Oryctolagus cuniculus: one gene and its partners. The protein of the gene in region 4 purifies or fractionates together with the protein of the main gene of each other region. This does not show direct contact. Links are inferred from orthologs where the notes say so. Each region holds a gene or a part of one and is shown on either strand. Other genes may lie near its edges.

Region 1 (4,103 bases), on a different chromosome or scaffold from region 4:
AAGAAGCTCCTGGCTTCAGATTGGCCCAGTGCTGGCCGTTACAGCCATTTGGGGAGTGACCAAGCAGACGGAAGACCTCGCTCGCTGTCTCCCTGTAACTCTGCCTTATAGATAAATTAATTTAAAAAAAAAAAAAAAAAAACTACACGCACATTCCTTCTAGAAAAATATACAACAGGCTTAAGTTGAGCTCAACAGGATAAAAATAAATACCTAAGATCACAGAACACCATAACAGGAATGGTTCCCAGGAATTATTTATTTCAATTTTCTTGTTTCACTCACAAGAATACTAAAGTGCATGATTAAGCTTCCCAAAGTTGCAGATATGGGAGAAACTAGATTTTATTTTCATTACTATTTTCCATTCTGCTACAAAGTGCTAAACATGACCACTACTCAGCTATCATCACAGATTTTGGCATTATTTAGATGTTAACTTATGCAACATACAAGGCTTAAAAAACAAGCACGACTATAAACAGGTGACCTTAACATGACTTAAGAGAAAAAACACACCCAAGACCACAACACGTCCCACCCAACAAGTTCAAAATGTCACACAGTGCAACCACAAGAATCAGTTCTCTGTATTTAATCACCATTCCAAAATAAAATTCTACCTGATAGCATTTCTCGCTGGTTAGATATATATATATATTAAGCCACTAACTGCAATCCTGTCCCAAACACCATGTGCTGTCTCCACTGTATTTTTAGCCCTTTCTAGGTAAGAACTTTTGTCTATTAACAGTAACAAAACTGTAGGTGCTAATTTACCAGACTTGTTAATAACATCACTAAACAATCCTTATCTAGGCCTATGTAGATTGCAGCTTCATAAATCCAAACCAGATACGTCTTCACATTTTAGCACAGTTATATACTGTGCCTCTAAAAGAAGCTGTTTGTGTCACCCCAAATGGTATTCTCTGGCAAGTCTAATACAAGTGATTTAAATAGGAAATTAATGGAACTGACAAGGAAACTTTATTGTTACTGTGCCTGAGTAATAACACAAACACCTAGAAGGCGCACTTGAAAAAGTGTTCAAATTGTAATTGTTTATAAAACATTCTTCTGTTTTGACTGACAGAGGTTCTTTTCCCTGTTACATTCCTTTCCTCCACAATCCTTCCACGGATCCCAACAGAGTACAAACTTTACACTCTGGTCAGGAAGAGAGCTGACACTTTTGTCATTTTATGGTTGCTCTATGAAGGGGAATACTGTTTTAGCTTTGGTTCTTAATTAAAAAGCTAATTATTCCCACCTGTCTTAATTAAAAAGCTAATTATTCCCACCTACACCCCCCTCCAAAGAAAAGAAATTTGTCAGAGGTCCCCTAATAACTGGCAGATAAGAATCATCCTGTGAGGGTGACTATTGCATTACAAAACCCTGAGTCATCACCCAGTTCACTCAGCAGATTTGGGTAAACATTGAGTAAGTGACTTATGTCTTGTGTGTTCATCTACCAACATTCACACGCATGAACACTGTTAGTAGAACCGTATGCACATTAACCAAACAAGATACAGAGAATGTTTTCCAAAGTTCTGACACTGAAAATACCCCTCTAGTGAACAACCTCCCTAACCTTTTGCCCGCACACTATTTTAACTGGGGGTGTTTGGGTCCCCCCCCCCCGACCGTAATTTCACTGACACTATAGGTGGCAGCTGGTTTTTAGAGACGATGCCAACAACACAACTCCTGCAACTAATTCAGTAATCTGCCTTCGTCTGAGCGCCTTAACAAAGCACTCAAGTTTGATGCTAGTATCGCCCAGCACAACCTGACACTGCATCTATTTCTCGGAGTATCGCAAAGGTCTGGCGAAAGGAAATGTCACAAGAGGAATACCGCACACTTCTCTAAGGTTTCAGACAACACTCTCAACACTAACGTCCCATGGTGGGCCCAAGAATACTCTGAGGGCTGATTTTCAACCAGTCTTCTCAATCAAATCCACTGAAAGTGAGCAGACCCACAAAGCAGAACCCAGCAGTGTTTCCCAACGCCCTCCTTCCCATTCAGAAAGTTCCTAGACGCGAACCGACACGAGTAGAGGCGGGGACTGCAGGGGAAGGAAGAGGAGGAGGAGGAAGCACGAGGAGAAGCAGACAAGTCAGGAGTTCCTCTCCCGAAAACCAAGGCTATCACCCCGCCTTCCCCATACGCAAAGCCCCAAAGAAGGCTTTGCGAGACGGCTCCTCTCTCCCGCGCCGGGCCCCAGGGCCCGAGGGGCCGGAAGACTACAACACCGCCGCTCGACGAGGGACAGCTGGGAGGACGCAGAGGGCGGATGAGGTCCCGGGAGGTCCTGGAGACCGGTCGCAGGAAGGAGACCTGAAAGCTTTACAAGCTGCTGTCGCAGGGGGGACAGCTCCGTCCAGGACAGAGCATTAGCTAGGTCCAGCAGCCCGGACAAAGAGCTAGCCCCCTCAACCCACACCCCCACGATGCCCTCCCACGGAGCCTTGTGCCCCGACCCATTTCGCAGGCCTGGGAACACTTACGTGGAGAGTTTCCTGGTCCAGAAGAGGCCCCCGGGCCACAGCTCTTGGAGCTGCACGGCCCGGCCCAGGTTGCTTTTGATCTGGGCCAGCTGCAAGTCGGACTCGGCGTCCAGCCGCTCGGCGTAGGGCAGCAGCTTGTTGTACACGATCTCCTTCTGCGGCACGAAGCCTCGACAGCCCGGCCCGAGACGCCCGCCCGGCTCCGGGGGCTCCCCGCCTCCCGCCCGCTCGGCCGGCTCCATGAGCACAGGGACACCCCCCCACCCCCTCCCACCCTAGCCCTCCCCGGCCCCCACCCCTCTCCGGGCTCCGCCTCCTCCGCGTCGTCGGCGCCCCGCGGCCGCCGGCGGCCCGTCACCCTTCGGCCCGACCGCTAGGCCCCCTCCCCTGGCCGACGCGCAGCTGGGCCCCGCGCGGTCTTCGGTTCGTTGGCGACGGCAGCGGCCGCTCTGCCCACCCCGCACCGGCTCGGCTGGTGACGCTGCAGCCGCCGGGCCCTGAAGTTCCGGACGGGCCTCAAGTCACTTCCGGGGCGGGGCGGGGCGGGGCGGGGCGACGGCGTCGGAGGAGGCGGTAGCAGCGGCGGTGGCGGCGGTGCGCCCAAGGAGCCGCGCCTTCCTCGCCGTGGGCCCGACTTGGAGCTCCCACCCCCGGGCCTCACCGGCCGGGCACGAGGCTTCCCCACCGGAAGCACGAGGCCGAATTCCAAGCTATTGTCCTATCTCGCCTGGTATCGCGCGCTCCTGGCGGTAGCCTAATCGCCACAGCCTCAGGCAAAAGGAATTGGCCTGGGCCCGCAGGCAGAGGAACTAATGCCTCAAGGATACAAGCGGTTTTTTTGGAAAAGCCTGCATACCCTGTATCTATCCAACCGGTACCTTACAGATTTTTTTACTCTGTCTGCTTTAAACTAAGCCCCTATCTTTCTGACCAACATCATCCTAACGAAAGGGATGATTATTCAACAAATATTAATCGAATGACTATTTTGTGTGCCAGACGCTGTGTCTAGGCTCTTGAGATGGAGGCTTTAAGAGCACCTGGTTTTCTACCCTCCAGAGATTTACTGTGAAGCGGAGATATAGACCAGTGAGTTACAAGAGAAATCTCTTAATGACTATGTAAGTACAGGTTGCCTAGGGATCTCTAAAGAGAAGTTCGACCTGGAGATGTGTCCACAAGTAGTTTCCTCGAATGGTAAATTATGCTGGAAGGTTGACAGCAAAGTAAGAAAAGGAAGGGAGACTTTTCATATTTCAAGTGAGACGACAGCTCTAAGGCTGAAAGCGGTATTGTAGGAATTTGAAGAAGTTTATGATGGCTGAAGATTGTTCGCAAGAGGGGACAGTAGAGAAATGAAACTGAGGAGGAAATGCTGGAGGATTTAGAGGCTTATCCTAAAGAAAAACTTCTCAAAGATTTCGTGCATAGGAGTGGCATGATATAAATTATGTTTTTTGAAAATTATTATTTGGAGACAGAGACATAGAACCCGCAATCACTGGGTCACTCCCCCAGTACCAGAAGCAGCAGCAGAAGTCAGGAGCTGGCAATTCCATCCTGGTCTCCAAGGTGGGAGGC
Region 2 (4,274 bases), on a different chromosome or scaffold from region 4:
TGCCCTTGGCCCCTCACATAAGCGTTGCGGATCTCCATGACCATCAGCCGGATGTCCCGGTACTCTGCCTCGTCCAGCTCGTGCACCAGCTGCCTGTAGTCACCCTGTGGAAACCCAGCAGTCAGGCCGGATGCCCAGCGCGTCCCTTCCCACGCACCCTGACCAGGGCCGCACCTACCACATGGGGCTGCTTGGCTGCTTTGGCCACCGCATCTCCGCGTTCCAAGAAATACCTGTGGGAATTAGAAGTGTGCGTGGAGTGGGACAAGACGGAGGGCACTCATAGGCCCATGTCCCAAAGCAGAGGGTTTGGGTGTGGGCGGGCGGCCACTCACTTGGATATCTGCGTGTGGAAGCCTTCCAGCTTGGTGTGAAGGCTGGTCATCAGCTCAAACACCTTCTCCTGGGGACGGCAAGTGAGGGCCAAAGTGGAAGGAAGCCGGGACTAGAGATGAGGGCAGGGCAGCAGGGCAGTGCTCTCACCTGGACAGCCACTCCGAAATTGTTGCCGTCCTCAATCCGGGGAATCTGCAGCTGCAACCAGGTGGTGACCTGGGGGAAGGGAAGCGCATCAAAGCCACATCCGGCCCCCCACCCCCACCTGGCCTCCTTGGCCTTGCTTGCTGCCCATGCTGGGTGGAGGTAGGCCAGGTCTATCCTAAGCCTCATGGGCCTAGGCTGCTGACTTCACCGGCTGTGCCCTCCCTTTCCTGCTAAGACCAGGCAAGCGGCATAACCTAACTGGCAGAACCAAGAGGACAAAGGGGTCGACCTGAAGCCAGGGGCGGAAGGAGCAGGGCTCACCAGATTCAGCTTCTCGATGACGTCCTTTATCTCGGGCTTTAGGCGCTGCAGAAGGCCTACAATCTTCTCATTGCAGTTCACTGGGCCACAGGGAGGACCTGGTGAGTGGGCGGTGGGTTACTCACTGCACTGAGCCTGTGCCTGACAGGAGAGCCCCTGCAGGGTGGTGGCCAAGTCCCTGCCCACCAGAGATTTCTTTTTTGTTCAAATACCTTTATCTTCATCATCCTCTTTCTTTTTTTCGTCTTTGTCTTCCTTCTGCAGGGAGAGAGGGGTCCCTGGGAGTCAGACCGCAGGAAGGCAGGTTTTCCCTGCCTGGTTGGGCCCCTCCCCCCCCCCCCGGGGGGGGTTCCCAGCTTGCCCCCTGCTGTTTCTTTCGCTCCTCCTTCTCTTTCTCCTTGGCCGGGTCAGGCATGGGGATGTCCAGGGGGGCCTTCAGGTTGCTCAGGTTGACTTCATTGAGAGCCGGCTCCTGGCAGAGGGTAGGAGGAGAGCTAGAGGCAAGGTGTGTGTGTCTCTCTCGCCTCCTCACTCTCAGGGCCTCGCCCTGACTCCCGTCCTCTGGGCCCCTTAACTCTCCAGCTCCCTGGCCAGCCCCAGTACCTTTAAAAACGCATCCAACTCAGAAATCTTCTTGGGGAAATAGTTCCCAAGCAGGCTCTCGGTCTGTGTGTGAGGTGGGGGTGGCGGAGGGTGGGGGTGAGACTCCGAGTGGTCCCGGTTGGGTCGGAGCTGGGGTGTGGCGGGACGGATCTTACCTTGGCACGCAGGTCTTCACGAAACGCATCCACCTGTGGGGCACAGGCAACCGTTCAGAAACCTGGCTTTAAGGCCGGTTTATTGGAAGGGAGTTCCTCTAGGGTTGTGGCAGGTCTGACCTGGGGAAGGGTGGGGTGTGCTCTCTGAGGCCAGATGGACCCCTGTGCCCGTGGACTGGGACTAAAGGGGTGGACCTCTGCAGTCCCGGGCCCCCTGGGGTTGCATCTGGGGATTGAGAGCACTCCTGGTGGGAAGGGTCTCCAGGGTCTCCTGGGCTATGCTGTGCATGTGAGGAGGGGAGTAGGGCAGCCTCAGCCAGTGGGACCCAGCAGGCACTGAGAAGCCAGGGGCAGGTCCCGCACCAGCCTGTGCCCCCCGCTCCGCGCACGCACTGAGGAGCCAGGGGCAGGTCCCGCACCAGTCTGTGCCGCCCCCCCCCAAGCCCCGCGCAGGCACTGAGGAGCCAGGGGCAGGTCCTGCACCAGTCTGTGTGGGGCCCCCGCCGGCAGGCTTCCCCTCTCCGGCTCTCTGCTTCACTTCACCTCGCTGGACCAAGGCCGCCTCGCCTCTCCCCGAAGGCAGACCTCACCGGTCTCCCCGGGGCTCAGGTGCTGGGAGCACCGAGGCGGCAGGCATGACCGACCCCTACTCAAGTGGGGGCTGGGGGAGGGGGCGGGTCGGGGGCTCCCTCGCCTCTAGGAACCACGTCTCCCTCTAATCGGCCCTTCCTCGACCCCGAGGCGCTCACCTTGGCTTGGGCTTCAGGCTGGACCCTGAGCGTGGCCATGGCAGGGCCGGGGGGGACCTGCTGCCGCACGAGGAGCGAGGAGGAGTGGGCACCGGGAAGAGAAAGCGAAAGCGGCGCTCGCCACCGGCACGGCCTTCCTGGGTAGTAGGGAGTGGAGGGACTGGAGGAGGCGGGGACAGACCAGACCGGGGAGACGGCCGCAGAGGCGGGCAGCCCCGCGGGGCTCCCCCTACAGCTCCCTGTGCCCGCCTGTCCACGCCCCACCTTGCCCCTCCCGCCCCCCTTGTCCCCGCCTCTCCCCCCCACCCCCAACTCCTCCATTGGCCTCTCTTCCGCTGCTGCGCCTGGCACAGGGATGCGCCTTACTCCGTGGGACGAGACCTGGCTGGCCGCTCCTTGCTAGCCTTCCCAGCCAGCGTGGGCACCTGCTCTCGCCGGCATCCTGTGGCCCGACACCCGGACGCTGCTGCTACCCTTCACCCGAGCTGCAGTCCGCTAGGCTTGGCTGCTGCTGCGCGTTCGCCTCTGACCGCCGCAGCTTCCTGTAGACCTCCCACCTGCTCCTCTCCAGTCACCTGCCTTCCTGCCCCCTGGCCATTCCTCCTGAAGGGCCCTTCCCACGGCTCTGGTCATTCAGCTCTCAGTTCAAATGTCACCTCCTCAGAATTAAGATTTAAAAAAAAAATGTATTTATTATATTAGAAAGGCAGAGTAACAAAAAAATGAGAGAGAGAATCTTCTGTCCCCAAATGCCCACAACGGCTGGGGGTGGGCCAAGAGGAAGCCAGGAGCCAGGAGCTTCTTCCGAGTCTCCTACGTGGGTGCAGGGGCCCAAGCACTTGGGCCATCTTCTACTGCTTTCCCAGGTGCATTAGCAGGGAGCGGGATCAGAAGTGGAGCAACCGGGACTCAAACCAGCATCCCTGTGGGATGCCAGCATCACAGACCGCAGCCTAACCGGCTGTGCCACCTCCAGGTGGCCAAATCAGCCTGCTTGAGTACCTTCACAGCATTTCTCTCTCTGATATTAGCTCAGTGTTTTGTTTCAGGATTCCACAAGCTTTTTCTGCCAAGGGTTAGATAATATATATTTTAGGCTCTGTGGGCCTTACAGTGTTGGTAACAACTACTCAACTGTGCCATGGCAACAAGAAAGCAGTCATATGTCCATGAATTAGTGCGGCTGGTTCCCGTGAAGCTTATTTATGGACACAGAAACTTGAGTCCATGTAATTTTCGTGTGTCATGAAATATGATGGTGCTTCAAAAGGTTTGTGGGAAGATGGAATAAAAAAATGTTTCTTTTGGTGCAGAAACCTTTGAAATCCATTAAAGTTTTTCACAGTGTGCTGATTCCCCGTGACGTTTTTGATAACCCCTGTCTGTGTAGATTAAAAAAAGTTGCACCAAAGTAAATATATTTTAATTCCATTTTCCTATGAACCCTTTGAACTACCCTCATACCATATTGTATTATTCTTTGATGTTTTCAGCATAAAAATGGAAAAACCGTTCTTAGCTCACAGGCCATACAAAAACTGGCCACAGGAGGGCAGTGTTTTGCCCATTCCTGGTTTAGACCTAGAGCACCCAGACTGCCTCGGTTTGTAACCCTGCCTCCTCTATGTGGTGTTAGCTTTGAACAGATTAACCTGGGTGCCTCACTTTTCATGCCTGCACAATGGAGACACTCATAGCGGGGCTGACAAGAGGACTAAATGTCTTAATTTATATAAAGAATTTATAGACGCTCAGAACAGTGCCTTGGCACAGAGCGAAAGTGCAGTTGCTTGCTGTTATTATCTGTGCGTCTGACACCTGCATAGACCCCCAAACAGCAGGAACCTCGTCTCTCTTATCCACATGGCAGGGAACTGTGCTTGCCTCGATAAACATTTGTTAAATACATGAGGGCACACACACCCCCACCACGGGGCAGACAGGGTAGAAAGGGGTCCCAGGA
Region 3 (4,086 bases), about 17 Mb from region 4:
TCTCAAGCTCACAGGAACTTCTAGAGAGGCTACCCAGAGTTAAGGAATTTGCTTAGTTCCTTTCTTTGTAAACACGGAACCAATGTTTGAGCAACCAAAATACAGGTCTGAGGCCAAAATCTGTTCATTGCAGATATACTTATTATGTCTCAATGAAATCACAACTTTTCATTATTTTTTAACTGTTTCTACTATCTTTGGTTATCTACTTCTCACAACAAATTAGAACAAGCCACTTAGAATCACCCTATATCAAACTGTTATTGTTTCTTAGCGGAATTCTAAAATATTGTATCAAAAAATGAGTACACATCTAAAAGGTGCCTTTAAAAATTTTCTGAAACTCCAAGCCATTACTGAAAATCGACAAGTTGTTTTAATGTAAATAGAAGGCTTTAGTTTTTTACCCCAGACTAACCTAAAATATTAGTTTATAATTATAGCAATAGCAACAAAGTTATATTTATATAAATAGCAACAAAAAAGCTAAAGCTCCCCCCCATAAAACTTTCTGGAAAATATACATCTGAAAGTGTAATTCATTACATTCCCTTGGAATCGAAGGAAAGCAATGAATACAGTTAAGAACTTCTACAAATACAGCATTGGCTCCATGTGTAAAATGCCAAAAAGAGCTAGAGGAGGAGTATTTCAGTGAAGCTATGGAAAGTATCACTGCACAACTTCAATAAACCCAGATACTTTAAAAAAAAAAAAAAAACTTTAGGTTTCAATAATTCTGGAATTGACTATTATAAACTGAGTTACCATGGCTCCGACACTTATTACCACACAGAACCGAAGTCAATTAGGCAGTTTATGTAGTTTGGTCTGAAATTAAAGACAACTGCATTTTAAACTTTGTCATTCAACTTATTAGTATAAACCCTAGCAACAGGAAAATATTCAAGAATTTCCTTCTATTAGCAGTATTAGCACACAGGGTGTTGCCAGTTACTTCTGAGCACACTGAAAGTTTCTCACACAGAACTGGTATCTCCTGTACCTTTACAAATTCATCACACAGCATTCATCTACATTTGATGAATTATTTTGAAATTACTTTGTGCCACAATTCCGAAAGGACTGGCAACTCTCTTGGTTTCTTAAACAAACTGAAAATGCAGAAAAATTTACAAGATTAAATGAGACAGGTAAAACTTAACATCATCTTCCCTCAAAGGTACCTATTGATCGAATGATTCTGTTTATTGACCTCCAACTAAATACCATTTAATCCTCAGGTATTTATATCTATTATGGAGGACGAAACAGAGTAATGTGCGCAAGGTCATACCAAATAAGTGCCAAAGCCACAGACGGAACTCATGTCTACTTAACACCAAGGCCCCGATCTCCAACCAAAATAAAAATCAAATATTTTTTAAAATAAAGATAAGCAGCAAGCTGCTGGTTTCAACTTGACATTACGACAGTCTTAACGGTGTATGGGGGCGTGACAACTCTGGAACACACGCAGCAGAGTTAAACTCGGGGCATTTTTCATTTCTTGGGATAAAGCTGAATTGATTCCAACAGAGCGCGTCTTTTTGCAGCCACAAGTAGAGAAGATGGCATGAGATTGGGTCACGTGGACTGGAGCTCTTAAGACTTTACAGAAGAAATTCAGAGTTCGTATTTTATGTTCGTTTCTTTCCCCTAAATTGCAAGTATTGGGGGGGGGGGGTGTCCAGGGTTCCAACCCCTACCATTCCAAGGCTTCCAAAAGAGGGACCCGCGCAATCTGGAGTTGAGTCCGAGCCCGGATTCGCAGGGCTCCGAGGCACACACCTCGCCACCAGAGTTCTCGGAGTGTAATCTGCGTGTGCGTGTGTGCTGGGGGCCAGGAGGACGGCAGAAAACCATTCGAGACGTATGCAAACAAAAGGGTTAACCTTTCCAGAGAAGGGGGCAATGAACTCATTTTCACCACTCACTCGGCCACAGACGGAACCTGATCCTTCTTTTTAAGGCCCATCAGCTCGGGTTACCAACTCCTAGCCCTCCGCGCCTAACCAGCTCCACGTCTCCGTCGCCCTCCCCCACCTGGGCACCCGCAGCCGCGGCCCGGGCTCCACCGCCGGGGCTGCCCGACCTCCCCTCCCCCTCAGCCCCAGCGCCACGAGCTCCGCGGCCGAGGCCTGCGGGCCCCGCGGGCGTGCGCTCCACGCCATCTGCCACCAGGCCTCCGGCGTCCGGCCACCGCTCCCCGAAGCTCCCTGCTACAAAGCCCCCGGCCAACTCTTGTGGGGCCGGGTCCGCCGCACACGCCGCTGGGGCCTCCGCGCCCTCGGGTGCTCGGCCCCGCGCGCAGCCGCCGGCGCCCCCGCGCTCCCCGCCGCGCGTACCGTCTCCTCGGGGTCGATGTCGATCTTGAAGGTCTGCTGCTGAAGGGTCTTCAGGGTGACCTGCATGGTGCCGCCGCGCAGCTCCGCTGCCGGGCCTCCGCCGGGTGCTGGCCGCTGGGCGGGGTCTGTGGCCTGGCCCGGCCCTGGGGTCGCCCGCGCTCCTCGCGCTCTCTGGAGGAAGGCGGTGGGGGTGGGGGCTTGTCACATTCGCCCTGCGGAGCGGCCTCTCCCCCAGTCCGGGCCCCGGGCCGCGCCGCTGCCTCCGCGACTCCGGCCTTTCCCGCGAGCTCCGGCCGCCGTGCTTCCTCACGCGCCCGCCGCCAGCCCCCGAGTCTGCAGGAAGCGCGAGGGGCTCTGTGAGACCTGCAGAGAATCCGCTAGCTCACCACAGGATGGTGGCCGCCATCATCGTGACTCGCCGAGACGTGCCCCCTCCCCCACCTGAAAAAACCTGGGGGATGGGGCCGGGCGGGCGAAGCGCGCAGGCGCAGGCTGCGACGAAGTAGTGCGCAGGCGCGGTCCAGAGCTCCGCCCCGGAACTGGGGGCGTGGCGGCTTGCGGCTCTGGAATGTTGGCCGCCTGGATCGGGGTGCGCAGGCGCACGCCGTGGGCGTCCGGTGAGCTTGGGGCGTGCTCGCAGGGTTTACAGCCGGGGCGTTCTTCCAACCGGCTGTCGCTCCGCCCAGGTCCAGACCCCACCCAGCTGCCCGAATTGCGCAATCCGTAGCTGGGGAAGCGCTACGTGGAAACCTGTCTGAGTAGATGCTGAGCCTAGAAAAGGAGAGGTAGAAGGCGGAGTGAAAAGTGGAGGGATCGCGGGAGCCGCAGTCCTGGGCCAACACTTGCGGGGCGCTTGCTGCCGGGGTGAGCCTGTGTGTGTAATCGGCTGATGCTTAATCCTGAGGGCGCGGACTCCAGAGCGCGACCGCCTGGGCTCACACCGTGCCTTTTTCTCCCTGGCTTTGAGACTTGAATCTCCACAGGCCAATTTGAAACGCAGGTGGTTGTCTCTCCAGTGAGCAGACGTGTTGACGAGTTCCCTCCTGGCCCTCTCCGAGTAAAAGTCCAAGTCCTTAGAACTGAGTGCGTCGGCCCGTCCTGCACCGCCACAGGGCTGTCTGTGCCCTTGCCATCACTTCCCCTCCTGCAGCTCTTCGCTCAGACTCGGTGAGGTCCATCCTGGCTACCCTACTGGAAATCACAACTGTCCTAGCTCCTCTATCCTGATCGTTTTTCCCATAGCGTGTATCACCTAATCTTACCATCTAATGTACATGTTTACTGTGTGTATCATCCTTCTCCCTTTCCATTAAGCCCCTGACTGAAGCTACACAAAGGTGTGGATTTTGTTTTGTTCCCCGGTGTATCCCCGGCACCTAAGAAACGCGCCTGGCACACTGCAGGCATACAGTGAATATTCGTAAAATGGGTACCTGTGTTTCCAGCTCCTCAGCACTAACGTGGGGTACTAACAGCACCCAACTCGTTGGTTATTGGAGGGGAGTTCAATAAAGTATGCAAAATCTTAATGTAAGGAGCCTAATCAACAGTCCATAAGCGGTTAGCCATTGATTACATGTCCATTTACAGGGGCAAAAGCTGAAGTACAAGGCTGTTGAGCCGCGTGCCTGTAGTCGGCCACCTGTGAAGTGGCAAACCAGACTCGACTCTGAACTGGGCCAGAATGACTCCAGGAATAGGGCTCCCTGGAGCACGTTTGACTTAAAGCGATTCGAGG
Region 4 (3,500 bases):
GTCAGACAAAGAATCTTTATTTGCTGCTTTACTCCCTGAATGATGGCAACAGTGCAGTCTGGGCCAGGCTGCAGACAGGAGCCAGGAGCCCCATCCTTGTTTGCTCCGTGGGTACAGGGACCCAGTCCCTTGCACCATCTAACACTGCCTTTCTAGTGCATTAGCAGGCAACTGAATAGGAAGTGGAGGAGCCGGTGTTTGGACTGGTGCTCTGGTGTGGGATGCCAGCATCGCAAGTGGCAGCTTAATTCACTGTGCCATGGTGCTAACCCCTAGGGGTGCACAGTTCTCATGTGAAGGGCCTGCGACCCAGGAAAGTGTAAGAACCGTTGATCAGGGGGCCGGCGAGGCGACTAAGTGGGTAAAGCTGCTGCCTGCAGTGCCCGCATCTCACATGGACGCTTGTTCGAGTGCCAGCTGCTCCGTTTTCAATAAAACTCTTAAGAAGCTCCTGGCTCCTGGCTTTGGATTGGTGCAGCTCCAGCTTTTGTGGCCATGTGGGGAGTGAACCAGTGTTGGAAGACCTCTCTGTCTCTGTCTGTCTCTCTCTCTACCTCTCTATAACTCTGCTTTTCAAATGAATAAATAAATGTTTAAAAAGAACCATTAATCAGTAATATAATTTTTGGTGATATCTTAGCATTTCCTTCTGTAGACGCTTTACACTTTAACCCGTTTCTGAACATTAATGATAATTTCCCATTTTAAGGCATCTTCTAAGATATTAGTAAGGTATTCTAGGAATAGTTTGAAATATTGAACATGTGTGGGCTTGTGTAATTAATTCCTGAGGCTGTATTCTAGAATAAATTCCTTGATCAAAGGTATGCATTTAGCACTTTGCCAAAACTGTCCTTGAGAAAGATTGTACTAAGTTGTGTCCCTATCAGTAATGCATGAGAAAATTAATATACATATATATTTTAAAGATTTACTTACTTACTTGGAATGTAGAACTACAGAGAGACAGGGATCTTTCAACAACTAGTTTGTTCCCCAAATGGCCACAATGGCCAGGGCTGGTCCAGGCCTAAGCCAGGAGCCCAGAACTCCTGTCACATGGGCCATCTGCTGCTGCTTTCCCAGGCACATCAGCAGGGAGCTGGATCAGAAACAGGACTCAGACTGGCACTCCAGTGTGGGGTGTTAACAACGGAGGTGGCAGCGTAACTCGCTGCACCACAGCCTTCGCCCTGGGTTTTTAGTGATTGTGTAGTTGTAGGACGGTATCAGTTTATTTAGCTGTTTCTCCCTCTGCTGTTTGCAGATTTTAGCCTCATGAAGAGTGCTGCAGTGAACATCCTTGGGCTTTTATTTCTGTATAATTTGTCTGGTTATATTCTTGGAATAGGGCCCTAGATGCAGAATTTCTGCACTGGTTGTGAACGATTTCAATAATATGCCAAAACCTCTTGGATTCTATAAAAGGCATTGAGCAGATTATATGTGAACTTGGAGGAGAACTGGCTGATTTTATTTATTTATTTATTTGAAAGTCAGTGTTACACAGAGAAAGAAGGAGAGGCAGAGAGAGAAAGGTCTTTTATCTGCTGGTCATTCCCCAGTTGGCCACAGTGTCCAGAGCTGTGCTGATCTGAAGCCAGGAGCCAGGAGCTTCTTCAGGGTCTCCCACGTGGGTGTAGGGGCCCAAGGACTTGGGCCATCTTCTACTACTTTCCCAGGCCATAACAGAACTGGATCAGAAGTGGAGCAGCCTGGACTTGAACTGGCGCCCATATGGGATGCCGACACTGCAGGCGACAGCTTTACCTGCTACGCCACAGTGCTGGCCCCTGGCTGATTGTTTTTAAGTTTCCGTAAATACCGTGCTCAACAGGCAGTTGGTGTAGGAAGTGGCACTGGACTGGTGGGGCCGTGGGGCTGGTGATTCTGGCTGCCCCTCCCAGAGCACGGGGCTGTGCTCTTGACCCTGCTGCTGGCTCAGGTGGCAGTTCTTGCCCCTGAGCCTTTAGCCTGCTTCTAAAGTCCTTTCCTGTTCTTGAATTTTCCATTTACTAGCGGGAGGTTCTCTCTGAAATACTTAGAACAATTTGACAGTCAAGGGACAAGGGAAATGCTGAACTTGGCCATTGTGTTTGCTGGGAATGCTTCCTGATGTGTTGCTGTCTCAGTCTAAAGTTAGGGCTTTGGTCCTTTGCCTGAGCATCACTGATGATATTATCTGGCAAATCTAGCACATACGTGTTAGTTTCTGTTTTCTCCCCAAAGAGCTAAAGGCTCACGGTGGAGAACTTCAAATCCTACATGTTTACCTGGCATAGTAATTCTAGTGGTCAAAAATGGAACCAGATACAGGGAAGGGAATCTATAGAAATGGAAAAACAGCCAGGTTAAGGGGCCAGAAGAAAAATATGTGTAAGTTAAACAGAAGCAGGATGAGGTGGGAAATGTATTGTTGATGTTCCTGAGGGAGTGCAGCTTTGTCCTGTGGGCAGTAGCAGTGGCTTTTATAGGCTGCCAGGGAGTTATTTTTCACTTCTCTGAATGATGCAATGCTCCCCCCTCCTTTTTTTTTTTATTAATTATTTATTTATTTGAAAGAGTTAGAAGGAGAAGCAGACAGAGAGAGGTCTTCCATCCGCTGGTTCACTCCTCAGTTGGCTGCGATGGCCAGAGCTGCACCAATCTGAAGCCAGGAGGCAGGAGCTTCTTCTAAGTCTCTCACTTAGTAAAGGGGCCCAAGGTCTTGAGCCATCTTCTGCTTTCCCAGGCCATAGCAGAGAGCTGGATCAGAAGTAGAGCAGCTGGGACTTGAACTGGCGCCCATATGGGATGCTGGCACAGCAGACGGTGGCCTTAGCTGCTATGCCACAGTGCCGGCCCCAAGCTTTCTCTTCTACTCAGCATGAGCTTGTATCTGTGATGATCATTTGGTGGATGTATTCAAAGGCAAAGCTGTTTCCACACAAGCTGTTTTCCTGTTGAGTTGGTGGTGGGGATAGTTGTTAGGTCAGGCTAAGCTCGGCCATGCTGCAGTGTTAGCTTTGAAGGGAGCTCATCTGCCCACAGAAGTGAGAAGGGAAGGGTGTGCCAGACTTGGCCTGGAGACCCTTGTTGAGCACATCCTGTCTCTGGGTTGGTTTCCTCTCTAAACGGGACCAGCAGTGCCCTGTTTTAAAGGGGGCTGGGAAGCTGAGCAGCGGATGTGTTGGAGTGCCTCATGCAATTTACAGTTTATTTTGGCTGATACTAGATGTTCAGCTAATGTTCTCTTCCTCCTTGTGTTCCCTCAAAACATTAAAAAATGCAACAGTGTTGTCTGAGCCTGCATTTTTGGATTGTTTGTAGGAGTGTTCTGTAGACTCATGTGTCTTTTTCTTGTATGTTCTCTGATCACAGGTATCAAGGTTACATTGGTGCAGCCCTGGTTTTAGGAGGAGTAGATGTCACTGGACCTCATCTCTACAGCATCTATCCTCATGGATCTACTGATAAGTTGCCTTACGTCACCATGGGTGAGTGTGATGTTTCCCTGACAC

What was found. Proteins that work in one complex are often made in the same cells at the same time.
Region 1: the proteins of PSMB7 (region 4) and PSME4 purify together in Homo sapiens (affinity purification with mass spectrometry; 3 studies listed by BioGRID and IntAct, counting the BioPlex papers as one, with this or other methods). This does not show direct contact. The link is inferred for Oryctolagus cuniculus from reciprocal best matches to the Homo sapiens genes PSMB7 and PSME4.
Region 2: the proteins of PSMB7 (region 4) and PSME1 purify together in Homo sapiens (affinity purification with mass spectrometry; 5 studies listed by BioGRID and IntAct, counting the BioPlex papers as one, with this or other methods). This does not show direct contact. The link is inferred for Oryctolagus cuniculus from reciprocal best matches to the Homo sapiens genes PSMB7 and PSME1.
Region 3: the proteins of PSMB7 (region 4) and RAD23B fractionate together in Homo sapiens (co-fractionation; 3 studies listed by BioGRID, with this or other methods). This does not show direct contact. The link is inferred for Oryctolagus cuniculus from reciprocal best matches to the Homo sapiens genes PSMB7 and RAD23B.

Annotation. Positions count from the first base shown.
Region 1 is NC_091433.1:148,747,137-148,751,239, reverse strand, and holds the start of PSME4 (proteasome activator complex subunit 4), read right to left. Parts: upstream 2,801-4,103; 5' UTR 2,765-2,800; coding exon 2,523-2,764; intron 143-2,522; exon of another isoform or gene 1-142. UniProt on the Homo sapiens protein: Associated component of the proteasome that specifically recognizes acetylated histones and promotes ATP- and ubiquitin-independent degradation of core histones during spermatogenesis and DNA damage response.
Region 2 is NC_091443.1:51,061,087-51,065,360, forward strand, and holds the start of PSME1 (proteasome activator complex subunit 1), read right to left. Parts: upstream 2,801-4,274; 5' UTR 2,753-2,800; coding exon 2,737-2,752; exon of another isoform or gene 2,678-2,736; intron 2,573-2,677; exon of another isoform or gene 2,449-2,572; coding exon 2,312-2,448; intron 1,596-2,311; coding exon 1,563-1,595; intron 1,471-1,562; coding exon 1,408-1,470; intron 1,277-1,407; coding exon 1,166-1,276; intron 1,063-1,165; coding exon 1,017-1,062; intron 903-1,016; coding exon 805-902; intron 553-804; coding exon 484-552; intron 404-483; coding exon 336-403; intron 234-335; coding exon 179-233; intron 105-178; coding exon 18-104; intron 1-17. UniProt on the Homo sapiens protein: Implicated in immunoproteasome assembly and required for efficient antigen processing. The PA28 activator complex enhances the generation of class I binding peptides by altering the cleavage pattern of the proteasome.
Region 3 is NC_091432.1:211,021,845-211,025,930, reverse strand, and holds the start of RAD23B (UV excision repair protein RAD23 homolog B), read right to left. Parts: upstream 2,801-4,086; 5' UTR 2,415-2,800; coding exon 2,349-2,414; intron 1-2,348. UniProt on the Homo sapiens protein: Multiubiquitin chain receptor involved in modulation of proteasomal degradation. Binds to polyubiquitin chains.
Region 4 is NC_091432.1:228,297,343-228,300,842, reverse strand, and holds part of PSMB7 (proteasome subunit beta type-7), read left to right. Parts: intron 1-3,360; coding exon 3,361-3,476; intron 3,477-3,500. UniProt on the Homo sapiens protein: Component of the 20S core proteasome complex involved in the proteolytic degradation of most intracellular proteins. This complex plays numerous essential roles within the cell by associating with different regulatory particles.